Linked DNA regions of Macaca fascicularis. The protein of the gene in region 1 purifies or fractionates together with the protein of each later gene. This does not show direct contact. Links are inferred from orthologs where the notes say so. Each region holds a gene or a part of one and is shown in the gene's direction. Other genes may lie near its edges.

What was found.
Region 2: the proteins of HIF1A (region 1) and LAMP2 purify together in Homo sapiens (affinity purification with western blotting; 3 studies listed by BioGRID). This does not show direct contact. The link is inferred for Macaca fascicularis from reciprocal best matches to the Homo sapiens genes HIF1A and LAMP2.

Annotation. Positions count from the first base shown.
Region 1 is NC_088381.1:129,530,860-129,538,865, forward strand, and holds the start of HIF1A (hypoxia-inducible factor 1-alpha), read left to right. Parts: upstream 1-3,893; 5' UTR 3,894-4,189; coding exon 4,190-4,224; intron 4,225-8,006.
Region 2 is NC_088395.1:126,741,873-126,750,095, reverse strand, and holds the start of LAMP2 (lysosome-associated membrane glycoprotein 2), read left to right. Parts: upstream 1-3,799; 5' UTR 3,800-3,927; coding exon 3,928-3,991; intron 3,992-8,223. UniProt on the Homo sapiens protein: Lysosomal membrane glycoprotein which plays an important role in lysosome biogenesis, lysosomal pH regulation and autophagy.

The DNA of each region.
Region 1 (8,006 bases):
GCTTTGCTCCTGGTAAACTGTAATTCTCTGAAAAGCTGGGATTCTCTGTATCTATCTGTCTGTCTCTCTAGTTTTTAGGGCAGTAGTTTTTCCTGTGACCTCAATTCTCTGGTGGATCTAAGAAGAGTTATTGATTTCAGTTTGTTTAGCTTTTTTTTCTTGTTGTGAGGATGGGAGCGACAACTTCCAAGTTCTTTACATGTTGAACAGGAAACTGAAAGCCCCTTGGTGTTCCTTTGTAAACTCATCTTAGAAATATTTATCATAATTGAAAAGTGCTAGTATCAAATTTTCAGTCTGTTTATATTCCCCCTAAACTCAGATAAATATACATTTTATTTTGTGTGTTTGCATGCATGTGTGTGTTTTGTTGTTGTTGTTTTTTAAGATACAGGGTCTTGCTCTGTCAAGGGTGGAGTGCAGTGGCACAATCATACCTCTCTGCAGCCTTGAACTCCTGGGAGAAAGTGATCCTCCCGCCTCAGCCTTCAGAGTAGCTATGACTACAGGCACTAACCACCAAGCCCAGCTAACTCTTAAAATTTTTTGTAGAGATGGGAGTTTCACTTTGTTGCCCAGGCTGGTCTCAAACTCCTGGCCTCAAGTGATCCTCCCGCCTCAGCCTCCCAAAGTGTTGGCATTACAGATACTTGGTGTTTTGATTCTTGAAAGGAAAAAAAAAAAAAAGATTTTTAATCCCTCTTATCGTCTAAGCACTTTCCTTCCAAACAATACCCTTTTGCTGCCATTGTTCTTGTTATGAATAGCTTAAAGAAAAAGAAACAACGAAGGGTAATAATAGGCCAGGAATCATTTACTGAATACTAGGTCTTCTTGCAGAGTTTAATACCCTATAAACTCTGTGCATCTGATGCATTTCACTTTCAAAAGGCTCAATGCTCTATATTATTTAGTAGTAATCAAAATTTCAAGTTTTACCTAGCCTCCTGATTCACTGCCCAATTTCCTACTAAATATGGGTCAATGGGGTTATTTGCAAATAATCTTATAGTCTACTCAGAAAGTTCTGCAGTTAGAAAGTGATTAAATGACTGTTTAAGATATACTTACATAGTAATAACCTAAATGCATTTGTTAAGTAGTTGTAAACAGGTGAATTTAAAATTTTATCCTATATGAAATTTTCCTTTTTGGTGTCTGTTATTTAATAGGATTGTTTGAATTAGGGGATAGTATTTGGTGTCTTTGTAACTATATGAAAATTAGTTGGTTGAATATTACTGCTTTCCATGTTCATATTTATATTTGTATATACACATATATACATACACATATACTACTTTCCTTTCCATTTTCATATTTATATTTGTGTATACACATATGAACACATACATAAAAATATATTTTATACATTTTTGAAAAGGAAAATTAACTTTAGGGCAAATTTAATGAATGTTCAAAAATATTTTTTGCTGATCCAATTATCACTGTGTTTTAAACTTTTGAAATGATCCAAAAAATTTTTAAATGACTTAGAGTTACTGTTACAAAATGTTTGTCTTTTGATGTCACAAACATTATACACTGTAATCACTGGCCAGAGAGAATTGCTATAAGTATAATGAAAAGGGAAATGATTGAAGATCTCTGCAGCTATCCTCATAAATGAGGGTGGGAACACGATGGGCAGTTCCCAAGTTGAAAACAGAGAATATATGTGGATTTATATTAACATAATTGGTATTCTTGGATAGTTAAAAATGGCTAAACTGTAGGAGAAGCCCGAGTAATTACTGTTAACAGAGGAATAAATTTGAGGGCAATAATAATGATAACAGGCCAGCACTGTGGCTCATGCCTGTAATCCCAGCATTTTGGGAACCCAGGTGAGCGGACCACCTGAGGTCAGGAGTTCGAGAGCAGCCTGGCCAACATGGTGAAACCCCGTCTCTACTAAAAATACAAAAATTATCCGAGTGTGGTGGTGGGCGCCTGTAATCCCAGCTACTTGGGAGGCTGAGGCAGGAGAATCACTTGAAGCTGGGAGACGGAGTTGCAGTGAGCCGATATCGCACCACTTCCCTCGAACCTGGGGGACAGAGCGAGACTCCGTCTCAAAATAATAATAATAATGATAATAATAATGCCACCAACAATACTAAGAGCTAACATTTACTGAGTGCTTACTAGGCACCAGATGTTGTTCTAAGTATACATGTATTATCTCATCTAACTATCCATAATACTGTGGTATAGACACTTTTACATCGATTTTATAAATAAGTAAACTGAGTTATGGAGAGATTAATGACTTGCCAGTAAGTTTCAAAGCCTGTGTACAAGCTCACGCTTGATTCTGGAGCCAGTGGTCTTAACACAGTATCTTCAGAATGTTAAACTAAAAGGTTTTTAATTTACAGAATTATTCTTTCCACAATTAAAAAATAAATTAGGAGTAATTATTTTGAGTTCTTTCTTCTCTTCAGGCATTTCCCATGGTTCTTTTCAAGACATAATACATATCATTTAGTGTTGTAGATCTGAAAAAACAAAAGTAGCGTGAAGACCAAAAGTTTTTTAAAGAGATGGAGTCTCGCTATTGTTCTCTAGGCTGGAACTCCCAGGCTCAAGGGATCCTCCAGCCTTACCCCTCTGAGTAGCTGGAACCACGGTGTCCGCTAAGGTCAATGTTGAATCGTATCTTTGTAGGTCTACTGACCAGTTAGAAAGAGGTGCTGTATACATTGGTTGTTGTCTTATCAGAGTTTGATGCTTTTATATAGACCATTGTTTTTACATGCTAATACAATTGAAAGCCACTACAGATATTTATATTTACAACCCAAAGCTAGGTTTTAACAAGAAACTCGTAACGCAAAGGTGAGAAGTAAAATAATTTAGCGCCAAGTAGAGATATATGTGCAATGCTCCTTTATTGGGCTCAAAATATATTCTTTTGTTTTATAAGACTGACAGGCTTGAAGACACTTTTATATCCATTATGCCTCCAAAGACAAAAATGATTACGTTTTATTTAGTAGCTTGCAAAGTTGCCAAAGACCATTTTTTCTACTCTTTCCCCGAAATTGGTTTATATGCTTATTAAAGTCATTTATACCTATTTGTGAATGCTTAACATAGTTTCAGATTTTAAGATTTCCCTGCAACTTTATTTCCCTTGAAGTTTACAGCAAGAGGAGTTAATTTTTATTTTTAATTGCATTTATTCAGTAATTAAACTCCGCCACAGAAAAACTTAGTGGACAAGGTGAGTTCCCCTGTGTCCCATGGCAAAGGTGCAGTGGGTGACATTGACCCATGGTTAGGTAACCTGGCAAGGAAAGACCCCGTTGTAACACCTCTGAGCAACGAGACCAAAGAAGGGCTTGCAGCCACGAGGCGAAGTCCGCTTTTTTGAACAGAGAGCTCAGCAGAGTTGGGCGGCAGTCACGCTCAGCACTGCGGCCGAAGAGAAAGAGAGCGGCAGCATTACATTGCTGCACGAAGAGTAGGAAAATATGATGCAGGTTTGGGACCAGGCAACCGAAATCCCTTCTCAGCAGCGCCTCCCAAAGCCGGGCACCGCCTTCCTTAGGGGAAGGCGCAGAGTCCCCAAACCCGCGCTGAGCCGCGCCCCCAGCTCCTTTCTCTTTCCTCCGCGGCTAAACACAGACTACCACGTGAGCGCCGCAGCACGTCCCAGCTGTGCCTCAGCTGACCGCCTCCTGATTGGCTGAGAGCGACGTGGGCTGGCCGCCTGCGTGGCTCGCCATTGGCTCTCGAGGAACCCGCCTCCACCTCAGGTGAGGCGGGCCTGCGGGAGCGCGCGCCGGCCTGGGCAGGCGGGCGGGCGCGCTCCCGCCCCCTCCCCTCCCTGCGCGCCCAAGCGCGCCTCCGCCCTTGCCCGCCCCCTGACGCTGCCTCAGCTCCTCAGTGCACAGTGCTGCCTCGTCTGAGGGGACAAGAGGATCACCCTCGCCGTCGCTTCGGCCAGTGCGTCGGGCTGGGCCCTGACAAGCCACCTGAGGAGAGGTTCGGAGCCGGGCCCGGACCCCGGCGATTGCCGCCCGCTTCTCCTGCTTCTGGTCTCACGAGGTGTTTCCCGCCTCGCACCCCCACCTCTGGACTTGCCTTGCCTTCTCTCTCCGCGTGTGGAGGGAGCCAGCGCTTAGGCCGGAGCGAGCCTGGGGGCCGCCCGGCGTGAAGGCATCGCGGGGACCGATTCACCATGGAGGGCGCCGGCGGCGCGAACGACAAGAAAAAGTAAGCCCATTCCCTCGGCCGGCCGCCGGCGCCCCCGCCCGCCGTCCCGCCCTGGGCTCCCGGGCCGGCCTCGGCGCTCCTGGTGGTGGGGGGGCAGCCTTTTTGTTTCTGCGGCTTCTCCCCTCCCCTCTCTTTCCCCCAACCTCGCCGGCCGGGCTCCCCCGCTGTCCACGTCGCCATCTTGTCGTGGGGGGTGGGAGACGCCTCGAAAGTGCTTTCAGGGGCCGGGATCTGAGCCCTGCTTGCCCTCCCCGCCGGCCGTGGGGGCCTCGCGCCGCCCACCTACCCGCCTCAGAAACCCAGCCTGCTCTGTGGCCGCATCCAGAGGGGACTTTACCCAGCCCGAAAACCCCGGGAAGAGAAATGAGCTGCAGCTCGGTAGCCGCGGTTTGCACCCGGAGCTTCCGCTCCTTCCCGCCCCCATCCTCTCCGGTTCCATTGAAAACTCGGCCCTGGGGCGGACCCTGCACGCTGGTCCTGGCTTCCTAGTGGGCTTGGGGCCCTGAGTTCCCGACTGAGGGACTCGCGTGGTCGGATGCGATCTTGTCCTGTAGTTGTCCAGCCGTCGCGGGTGTCTTTGCCTTTGTGCATCCTAGGGATTTGCCGCGATGGCCTTAAGATGCGAACTTTTTAGTTTGCACGTGCAGGTTTTGTTTCGTTTTAAGCGCCTTAAAAAACTTGCCTAGACTGAGAGTCAGAGTAATGGGAATTTAGAGAAATAGCAACATTTTAAAGAGAACTTTAGAATTGGATACTTGAGTTCATATCACCTGTCACGAGAACGCAGATATTATAAATGAATACATGCCTCACTCATTCTTCAAATAATGAAAATGTAGGGGCTGGTTAAATGTAGGCAGACAGTTTTAATGATACTGAAAAAATTATATGATGAGTGAACGAAATGCGGCACTAAAATGTTGCAAAAATTTTCGAACTCTTTCGTTTTCCTGAAACTGAAGTATATTAAAGGAAAACCTTCAACATATATCCAAAGTAAGTTAATCACTCGGTTAGAACTTAATGCAAGTTTTATAAATCACCTTGAAGTTTGAGCCTAAGGGGTACATTAGAGATTAAGAATTGTGAGTTGAACCACTGGTATTAAGAGCGGACTCCCCCATCCCCCAACACACACACAATTTTGTCCACTTTGGTATTTTAACTTTTAAGGAAATCATTTAAGGAATTGAAGATTTAGAGTAAGAGTTTTGGTTAGTAGACTGGCTTTGCTCTTAAATCCTTCCACTCTTCTGGCAGAGAGATTAATTTCCCTAATCAGTATCAGCAGAAGATAAACTTGTTTATATTCTTGCTGTTTTGTAGATCCCTTCTCCTGGTCCTTCTTCAATAGAATATTAAATTCTTAGTTTGTGTACACCAGAGAAGGCACTTACAAAATTCAAAAAGTGAGCAAACAGGTTTAAATTCATTCCAAGAGTTACCAGAAATTAATTGCAGTTTATTTTGCGGAGGTGATTACAGTGCTTTTGATGAAATGATAAAGCGGCAGATTACCTCTGTGTAGTGCCAGTTTTCTATCCTTATATATATTGAATCATACTTAATACAATGTATTAAATTATGCACCAATCAATTCCTTTTTATATACAGTATCGAACTCATTTCTTTGCCATTCATCAGTTCAGAATATCAGAAGCAGTTTTGAAATGAATGAATGAATAAATTAGCTGCTGTTCATCAGCCCCAATTCTAAATGAGTTCTTAGATTTTCCTCAGCTCATCTGTTACTTTCAAAATTTTCTCATTTGAAAACTTAGCAACCTTGGGTTGGATGGATTCATTTCTTAATATAGAAGTTCTTGATATAACTGAAAAGTTAAACACTTAATAAGTGGTGGTTACTCAGCATTTTTAGATGCTGTTTATAATAGATGACCTTTTCTAACTAATTTACAGTTTTTTGAAAGATAACTGAGAGTTTGAGGGATGGGGATTTTCTTCATGCAATTTTTTTTTTTTCATTTTAAATGAGCTCCCAATGTCAGAGTTTGGGAAACAAATTTGTCTTTAAAAGAAGGTCTAGGAAACTCAACCTGAAGAATTGGAAGAAATCAGAATAGAAAATGGGTATAGCTATGATATTTTAGATTTAAGATAGGACATTTCATGTTGCCTCCTAGTTATAGGGACTGAACTTACTTAATAGCACATGTGTTTTGATTTTTAGATTTTTAAGGGAATGTCAAGAGAGTAATGATTCTGTTTCAGGCTTCAGGCCAGACTCCTTCAAAGTTTTCCAAAACAAATAATTACTGAATCATTAAAGTAAAATTGCTGAGAATAGATATTCCTTAATTTCCTTTCATTAACTTTGGCCATTAAAAGTCAAGAAGCTCTCTCATTTATTAGCAAACTTTTCTCGTTATATTTCTATTTTGATTGTCCTTTTGTTTGAGGAAGCAGTATATAGTGGTTAAGAGCATAGGATGTGGAGGCAGATACCTCTGAGTTAAGGGTCCCAGCCCTTCACTTGTGAGCTTGAGCAAGTTACTGAATGCCTCTGAGCCTCTTTGCTCCTTTTGAAGTGATGATAAGAATAGCAGCCATTTGAGCAGTTATTGTAAAGGTTAAATGAGATAATGCTTGTGAAGCACTTAGCCCATTGCAGGAGTCTTGGTGACACTGTGTACTTGAAAATAGATGTTACCTGTTAAAATTCTTGTTTGAACTTCCACAACTCTTAAAATTCTTTTTTGCTAGTCCTTCCAGCTATTTCCTTTAGTTTCTTTTCTGTGTCTTCATGCATCTTTTCTATCTCCTGAAAGTGAAAAGACTAACATTGGATCCAGAGCTTGAAAAGGGCTTTTTTTCCTGTTAAAATGGGCAAAAGAGTACATCCTTGGGTTATATTGGCACCTAGTATCAGTTATTTTTCTTGAGCATCTGATCTACTCTCTACTCCAGGCCTCGTCCTTCACAATTCCTCACCCCTGTGTTTTCTCCCCAAATAGAAAACTTTGAGTTTACTGTGGACTTACATACTGTGTATGTAGAGTCAAACATACACAGCATTCTAGTCTTACTGTTGATTTAAGCAAGATATGTGCAAGACACTGCAGTCTTAGTACTGGCAGTAACTTAAAACATTTTTTGTCTTGATGCCAAAGTTTAGACAATTTTGTAAAAATTAACCTTTGTGAAAGATAATGAGTTGATAAAATATTCTCAGTAAAGCAGCTACATGATAGAAAAACTGTCCTTTGCTTATGAATTTCTCCAGAGTTAAGACCATTGAGTTCCATCTGAAGGCAAGACTTAAAGCTTGCCTTACTGGTCTGTTTTGTGGCTCAATTTGTATGAAGTCTATATTAGTGCACTCTTCCACACGTGCGTATTTACTGAACTATCAAGTTATTTTAGAGCATCTTGTGCAGTTTGGAGAATGTCAGCTTTTCTACCTGTTAACTTCCATTGTCTTTCCTTTTAATGCCATTGTCTATGGCTCTAATGGTGTCTGGGCTCAGGGTTTAGATTTTGTGGTTACATTCTATTCTTGTATGTCAAGAGTGGTGTATAGAAAGCTGAGGGGGATTAATTAGTCTCTTGACTGATTTTTTTTTTTTCTGGAAGAACTCAAAATAGTTTATTATGTTTGGTGGTGAAATTAAAAATTGATGTGCATGGATGTTAAAGATTTGGGTTAAATCGTGTGTTCATAGATGCCTTCTCTTAATATATCATTTTTTAAACTTAGATACTTGAAATACTGTATCCCTTTATCTAAGATTAACACAAGTCTGTTTCTTAACCAGGAGAAA
Region 2 (8,223 bases), on another chromosome or scaffold:
ATATGTACATATATAAATATATATTTATATATAAATATATGTACATATATAAATATATATTTATATATAAATATATGTACATATATAAATATATATTTATATATAAATATATGTACATATATAAATACATATTTATATATACATATATAAATATATGTACATATATAAATATATGTACATATATAAATATATGTACATATATAAATACATATTTATATATAAATATATACATATATAAATATATATTTATATATAAATATATGTACATATATAAATACATATTTATATATAAATATATGTACATATATAAATACATATTTATATATAAATATATGTACATATATAAATACATATTTATATATACATATTTACACATATAAATATATAATTTATATATTTATATAGTTATATGTGTATTTATATATATATACACACACGCACATATATATGTATTTTCAGAGACAGGGTGTTGCTCTGTCACCCAGGTTGGAGTGCAGTGGTGCAAACATGGCTCACTGCAGCCTCCACTTCCTGGACTTGAACAATCCTCTTGCCTCAGTCCCCAAGTAGCTGGGACTACAGGTGCACACCACCAAGCCCAGCTAGTTATTCATTTTTTGTAGAGAAGATGGGGTTTCACCATGTTGGCCAGGCTAGTCTCAAACTCCTGAGCTCAGGCAATCTGCCTGCCTTGGCTTCCCAAAGTGTTGGGATTACAGGTGTGAGCCACTGTGCCTGGCCAATTTTAAATAAATGAGCATTTACTCACATAGAACCCTTGAATTACAAAGCTGGTGCCACCTTAGAGATCATCTGAGGCCCACCAATATTGTTTTGGGGAGTTTTGAGAAAAACACCATGCCCAGGCCTGACTCCAGACAAACTGAACCAGAAGCTCAAGGGATGGGACCAAGGGGCATTTCCACTTTTAAAGCTCCACAGGTGATTCCAACATGCAGCCAGGATCAAGAAACAGCTCCAGTCTCACTATTTCATTTTACCAATAAAGATCTAGAAGTTCAGACAGATGAAGTGACCTGCCTAAGGTCACACTGCCAGTAAGTGGTGTCTCACAACCAGCTCCTCTGACTGCCAACCCAATGTTCTTTCCACTATGTTCTTTTTTTGTTTCTTCTTATAGAAAGAACTTAGGGTTTTACTGAACATTAAAGTTATACAATTTACAATTGAGAGAGAAGAGCTAGGGTCCAGTGAGTATTGGTGGGGCATCTCCAGAGGGCTCAACGCAATTGTGGGTTCTCTGAAGACTACTATGCCCAGGACATAGCTCCTGCCAAGTCTCATTGATGGCAGTCGAATGACATTTTGCTAAAGGCAATGACTAACACTGTATGCAGTGTTCATTAGTCTTGTGTTCGGTCACTTGTTCACAAATTAGTTTCACCAATGATAGTAAACATTCACTGACAAATGTTCTCACTTTCAGGAATTAATTACATTAAAGCAAACAATAGTGGGACAGATCAGTGGTTCTTAATGTTTGAATTAGGGTGGTTTATTAACCTTAATATTGGTTAGGGCAGGGAGTCACAGGTCCCATTGGAGAACTAGTGAAAACTACAAACTTCCCCACAAAAATACACATACATAAATGTTGCATGTAATTTCTGAGGATTCACTGACACCCCTCCCATCCTGCCTAAACTCATACATAGACTCCAGATTAAAATCTCCTGGACTAGATGATTTTGAAGCTCTCTTTTAGTGTTTCTCAAAGTGTGGTCCATGGACCACAGAATCAGAATCACTTGGGGTGTTTGTTAAAGAAGAGATTCATAAGACTGCCACAGACCTACTGTTTCAGAATCTCTGGGGAATGAGGTACAGGAATCCGTATGTTAAAACAAACAAACAAACAAAAAAAAACCAGATGGTTCTTTTGGAAACTAACACTTGAGAATCAGTGCTTTATTCCAACTCGACATTTTTAAATGCTTTCATCTGTTGAATATTTTAGGTTTTGTCTGTTCATCTATCAAGTATAGCAAACAGTATGCTTAGTATTAACTCATTACAGAATATTTGTGTGTATGTACATAGGAAAAACACCTGGAAGTGTAGATGTGGGTGTGTGTATATATATGTGTAAATATATATAATAGTGTTAATAGTGGGAATAGAGATCTCTATTTTTCCCCCTTTATTCTTCTGTTTTATTTCTCTCATTTTTTTTTTTCTTCCTGTGTTTTAAAAAATATGCTTCTTGTTTCTGAGCTCAATTCCCCCATCTGAGAACAGGGTGCTGTAACTAGGTGAACTTCAAGATCATGTCTTGTTCCAATGGTCCGTGACTCCATACTATCCTCTAGGTTCCCTCGTCCATCTCACAGCATGAACTGCATAGGTAACAACAGTGTTCGGAGAATAAGCATGTATTATTTTTGTATGTATTACGTTTGAGATGCCTAGCAACCGTTTTTGTGCCCGCAAAATTTTTCTCTTCTTTGTCAAGGAGCCAAAACGGAAATAGTCTACTATCTACGGCCCTCAAAAGTTCCTCCTCTCTCCTTAGCCTTAGAAAATACCGTCCGCCATAGGCATGGGCAAAGACTTCATGACTAAAACACCAAGAGCAATTGCAACAAAAGTCAAAATTGACAAATGGGATCGAATTAAAAGAGCTTCTGCGCATCAAAAGAAACTAGCATTAGAGTGAACAGGCAACCTGCAGAATGGGAGAAAATTTTTGCAATCTACCCATCTAACAAAGGTCTAATATCCAGAATCTACAAGGAACTTAAACAAATTTACAAGAAAAAACAACCCCATCAAAAAAGTGGGTAAAGGATATGAACAGACACTTCCCAAAAAAGACATTTATGTGGCCAACAACATGAAAAAAAGCTCATCATCACTGGTCATTAGAGAAATGCAAATCAAAACCACAATGAGATACCATTTCACGCCAGTCAGAATGGCGATTATTAAAAAGTCAGGAAACAATAGATGCTGGCGAGGCTGAGGAAAAATAGGAATGCTTTTACGCTGTTGGTGGGAATGTAAATTAGTTCAGCTGTTGTGGAAGACAGTGGGGCGATTCCTCAAAAATCTAGAACCAGAAATACCGTTTGACGTGTGCACACGTATGTTTATTGCAGCACTATTTACAACAGCAAAGACTTGGAACCAACCCAAATGCCCATCAGTGATAGACTGGATAAAGAAAACGTGGCACATATATACCATGGAATACTATGCTGCCATAAAAAAAAAAAATGAGATCGTGTCCTTTGCAGGGACATGGATGAAGCTGGAAGCCATCATCCTCAGCAAACTAACACAGGAACAGAAAACCAAACACTGCATGTTCTTACTTATAAGTGGGAGTTGAACAATGAGAACACATGGACACAGGGAGGGCAACAACACACACGGGGGCATGTCAGGGGGTGGGGGCCAAGGGGAGGGAGAGCATTAGGAGAAATACCTAATGCATGTGGGGCTTAAAACCTAGATGAAGGGTTGATAGGTGCAGCAAACCACCATGGCACATGTATACCTATGTAACAAAGCTGCACATTCTGCACATGTATCCCAGAACTTAAAGTAAAATTTAAAAAAAAAAAAAAAAAGACAGAAAAAGAAAAAGAAAATGCCGTCCGCGCATATCTCTTAGGCGCATAGGAAGGGTTGTGAACCAAAAAGCCAGGGCGTGGTTGCCCCGCCCACCGGCCTCTACATCACCACCCCTCTCGCCGCTTTCAAGCGCGGAGATTGGCTGTAAGCAAGAAAGAGCCCCGCCCCTAGTCTTATGACTCGCGCTGAAGCGCCGATTCCTGGCTTTTGCAAGGCTGTGGTCGGTGGTCACCCGTGCTCTTGACCCAGGTCCAGCGAGCCTTTTCCCTGGTGTTGCAGCTGTTGTTGTACCACCGCCGTCGCTGCCGCCGTCGCCTGCTCTGCGGGGTCATGGTGTGCTTCCGCCTCTTCCCGGTTCCGGGCTCAGGGCTAGTTCTGGTCTGCCTCGTCCTGGGTGAGTTGTCGGGCCCTCCCGATTAGTCTGTCCGCCTGGGCCCGGGGCGCCAGTTCAAAGCTACAACCTGAAAGACTGGTCCGAGGGGGCGGGGGGTGAGAGGCTCAGCAACTGACACTGGGCGGCGGCGATTGGCCCGAGGAGGCGAGCGGTGACCTAGAGAAGGCCTGACAGAGGGATGGCGGGGAAGAAGGGCCCAGGAGAGTAAGAAGGGGCCGGTAACGGGGGGGTGGACGCCGAGGGAGTAGGCTGGGAGGAGTGAAGCGTGGAGAGGGTCAGGGTGGAAAGAGTAACTTGGGGAAAACACTGAGGAGTGAGCGTAGGAGGGTGGTACATGCAGATTTTGGGCGCCAGAGACAATTAGGAGAGTCCTGGTTTGCTGAGATCAGGGAAGAGTTTTGAAGATGGTGGAAAAACTATGGGGTGATATAGGAAATTAAGAGAGGAGACCATGCCTGCCTGGAGTAGCTTGGGGGAAGAGTGTGGGTGGGGGACAGATGGAACAGATAGGACAGTAGAGCCTGAGGGGCAGGGGCAGGGACAGGGTTGGGCATTTTGAAGGTTGGAATTTGAGGCTGTGAAGAAGGGGTGATTCAAGAGATTAGGAGTGATGCTGGGTTTGAGTTTGGTAGTCATAGTTTTAAGGGCGAAGGAGCCTAAGGTAGCTGGGGCAATTTCCAGGAAAGAAAACTTGGACCCAGCCTCTGGAGACTAAGGGGTTCGGTGGGAACTTTGATGGGGAGTGCACATCTGACTTGGAGGTATTAAGGATGTCGATTTTCTCCCAGTTTTGCTACTTCCTCCCAGCCAGACGCTGACAAAAAAATCCCCAGACGTTTCAGTTAGGAGGGCCTCCCAGATGAGAGGTTTTGATAGACTGAGTTTGGTAGACTACCTCTTTGCCTTCAGAGTCTCTTGTTTTCTTTCTTCCCCATCACACTAGCCTATTACCTCATTTTTTGGGGGGGTGCAGGGAGCAGGTAGACAACTTGCTAAGGATTGGGTTGTTACCAGGGCCTCATTAGAATGGCTGGATGGGGCCGGGCGCGGTGGCTCACGTCTGTAATCCCAGCACTTTAGGAGGCCGAGGCGGGTGGCCTCACCTGAGGTCAGGAATTCGAGACCGGCCTGGCCAACATGGTGAAACCCCGTCTCTACTAAAAATACAAAAATTAGCCAGGCGTCGTGGCACATGCCTGTACTCCCAGCTACTTGGGAGGCTGAGGCAGGAGAATCGCTTGAACCCAGGAGGCGGAGGTTGCAGTGAGCCGAGATCGTGCCATTACACTCCAGCCTGGGTGACAAGAGTGAAACTGTGTCTCTAAATAAATAAATAAATAAATGGCTGGGTGAATGTTCGCTGATTGTGTTGTGCCCTAATAGGCAGTGGGTCCCTAACAGCTTTAATGCCTGAAGATGAACTTTGACTAGTGTCTCTTCCTGACTTGATTCATGCTGTGCTTTTTGCTACCCACCTGCTCTTGCTATTTGTGACTTAATAAAATAACATAAAGAACAGACCCAGATGGAAGTGGGGAAGAAATAGACTTATTAGGGGTCTGAGAAAGCAGTGAGAGGTATACATTTTGTAATTCACATTTCAGTAGAATAAAATCAACACCCTGGAATAGTCATTCTCCACCAGGGGACATTTGGCAACTTTTGGAGACATTTTTGGTTGTCACAACTGGGGGATTGCTTTTAGCATCTAGTGGGTAGAGGCCAAGGATGCTGCTAAACATCCTAACTAAGCACAGGGCAGCCCCTCACAACAAACAATTATCTTCCTGAAAATGTCATTGATAAACCCTGCTCAAAAACCATAGTATTGGAAGGGTTCTTGATTATCTAATTCAGTGACTCTCAAGGACCTTTTCATGGGTCTATGAAATCAAACCTTTGGAATAATGTTAAGAAGGTTTTTGTCCTTTTCGGCTGGGCACAGTGGCTCACGCCTGCAATCCCAGCACGCTGGGAGGCTGAGGCGGGTGGATCACCTGAGATCAGGAGTTCAAGACCAGTCTGACCAACGTGGTGAAACCCAGTCTCTACTAAAAATACAAAAATTAGCCGAGTGTCGTGGCACATGTCTGTAATCCCAGCTACCTGGGAGGCCAAGGCAGGAAAATCGCTTGAACCCGGGAGGTGGAGGTTGTGGCGAGCCAAAATTGCGCCACTGCACTCCAGCCTGGGCAACAAGAGCGAAACTCCATCTCAAAAAAAAAGAAAGTATTTGTTCTTTGTCCTTTTCACGCTCATCCTCTCACCAGTGTACAGCGGAGTTTACCAGTGGCTACATAACATGTGATGACCTCACCACTCTGATGTTCTTATATTTTATTCATTTCTCAGTTTTAATTTCTAATACTCTAAATACCAATACATATGACTCACATAAACCTCTGTGAAGTCCTCAGTGGATAAGAAAGTAAAGGGGTCCTGACACCAAAACGTTTGGTAGTCCAACTGTTCATAGGGTGCAGGAAACTCTTCTGTAGCACTTCTGAAAGGTGGCCTTGAGGCAGGCTTTGCTTGAATACTTAATTCGAAGCCTTAACTGTCCCTTGGAGCACTTACTGAGGGCCAACTGACCCTAAGAAAGGATTGTTTACAATGGAAAGTACCTTATCAGTGACTAGAACACATCTGACCAAGGCATCTGTTAATCAGTAGTTCCCTGCCAGTTGAATCTGTGCACAAATACAACACTGCTATTGTTTGGGGAAAGTGAAAAAAATAATAGTTGTCCTACTTGTTGGCTTTCATGTCATTAAATTTTTTTTGTTTTTTAATGAAAGCTTTTTTGTTTTGTTTTTACAAAAGCAGTGCTTACTCATTGCAGAAAATAAACATGCAAAAAGAAGCACATAAAAGAACCCATCAGCTCATCTGCTAGTTTGCCATTTATTGATCGGGACTAACTAGATTCATCCTCTTGGAAAATTTCCAAGATTGATCCCCTCCACCTCCAAGTTCAGAGCAGGATTTGGAAAAGTAAATATTAATAATGTACCTAGATCGGATTTTTAAGAGGTTCCAGGATGAAATAGAAACCATTCTTCTATACAGCTGCATTTTCTGATGGCTACTGGTTCAGTGTGGAGCCCAAAGTCCTCCCATATGGCTTTTTCTCTCAAGAATTTAGCAGTTGCTTGGTGGGTTTTGCGCAAGTTACTTTTCTGTATCAAAATGGATACCAAGAATAGGTTTTTGAAAACTCAGTAAATATTTGTAAAGTACCTACTATGTAGCTAGATCAATAAATATTTGCGAAGTATCTACTATGTAGCTAGAACTGTGCCTGGGTACTGTACAGGGTGCCAATGAAGAAGGACCTGTCCTAAATTTATAGTCTTATTAGCATTAGTGCTCTAGCTGTGCCAGTTTGACTTTGTAACTTTATAACTCTATCCCAGCTTCACCCGTAACCTTTTAAAAACAGCAGCTTTAGAGTAAGTACAGAAAAGGATTCTTAGAGGCTATATATTGGTCTTTTTCATAGAGATTAAATTATGCTGGTGTTTATTTGGATGAATTGTAACTGGCCAGATAACTTTCCGAAGAGAAGCTATATGATTTAGAGGTGTTATAAAGTGGATAGTGAAAATCCTTTCTTTATATAATTGCCTAATTATGGTCCTTTTGTGACATCATAGATTTCAGGATTCTTCTGTGGTTATTGATTCTTATAACCAGCTTGACTTCTGTTTTTTGGTTTCTTTGTGTTTGTTGTTGTTTTTTGGTTTTGGGTTCAGATTTTTCTTTTTTAGATTTGAGTCTTTTCTGGGTGGGAAAAACCTCACAGAAATATTCTTAGTGTCCGTCACTGGTAGGAGCCTCTCCCTTCCACACATGTTTACAGAATGCCTATTGTGTCCCAGCCACTATATTAGGTGAAAGTGACAGAGGAATGGATAAGACAGATGAGTTTCCTGCTCTCATGGAGCTTACATTTTAGTGGGAGAAGAAAGCTCAACAGATAAATAACATAATGTCAGATAGTGATAAACACTATGAAGAGGTTGGGTGTGGTGGCTCACACCTGTAATCCCAGCATTTTGGGAGGTCAAGGCAGGCAAATCACCTGAGTTTAGGAATTTGAGACAAGCCTAGCCAACATGGTGAAACCCCATCTCTACTAAAAATACAAAAATTAGCTGGGCATGTTGGCCGGCACCTGTAGTCCCAGCTACTCGGGAGGCTGAGGCAGGAGAATTGCTTGAATCCAGGAG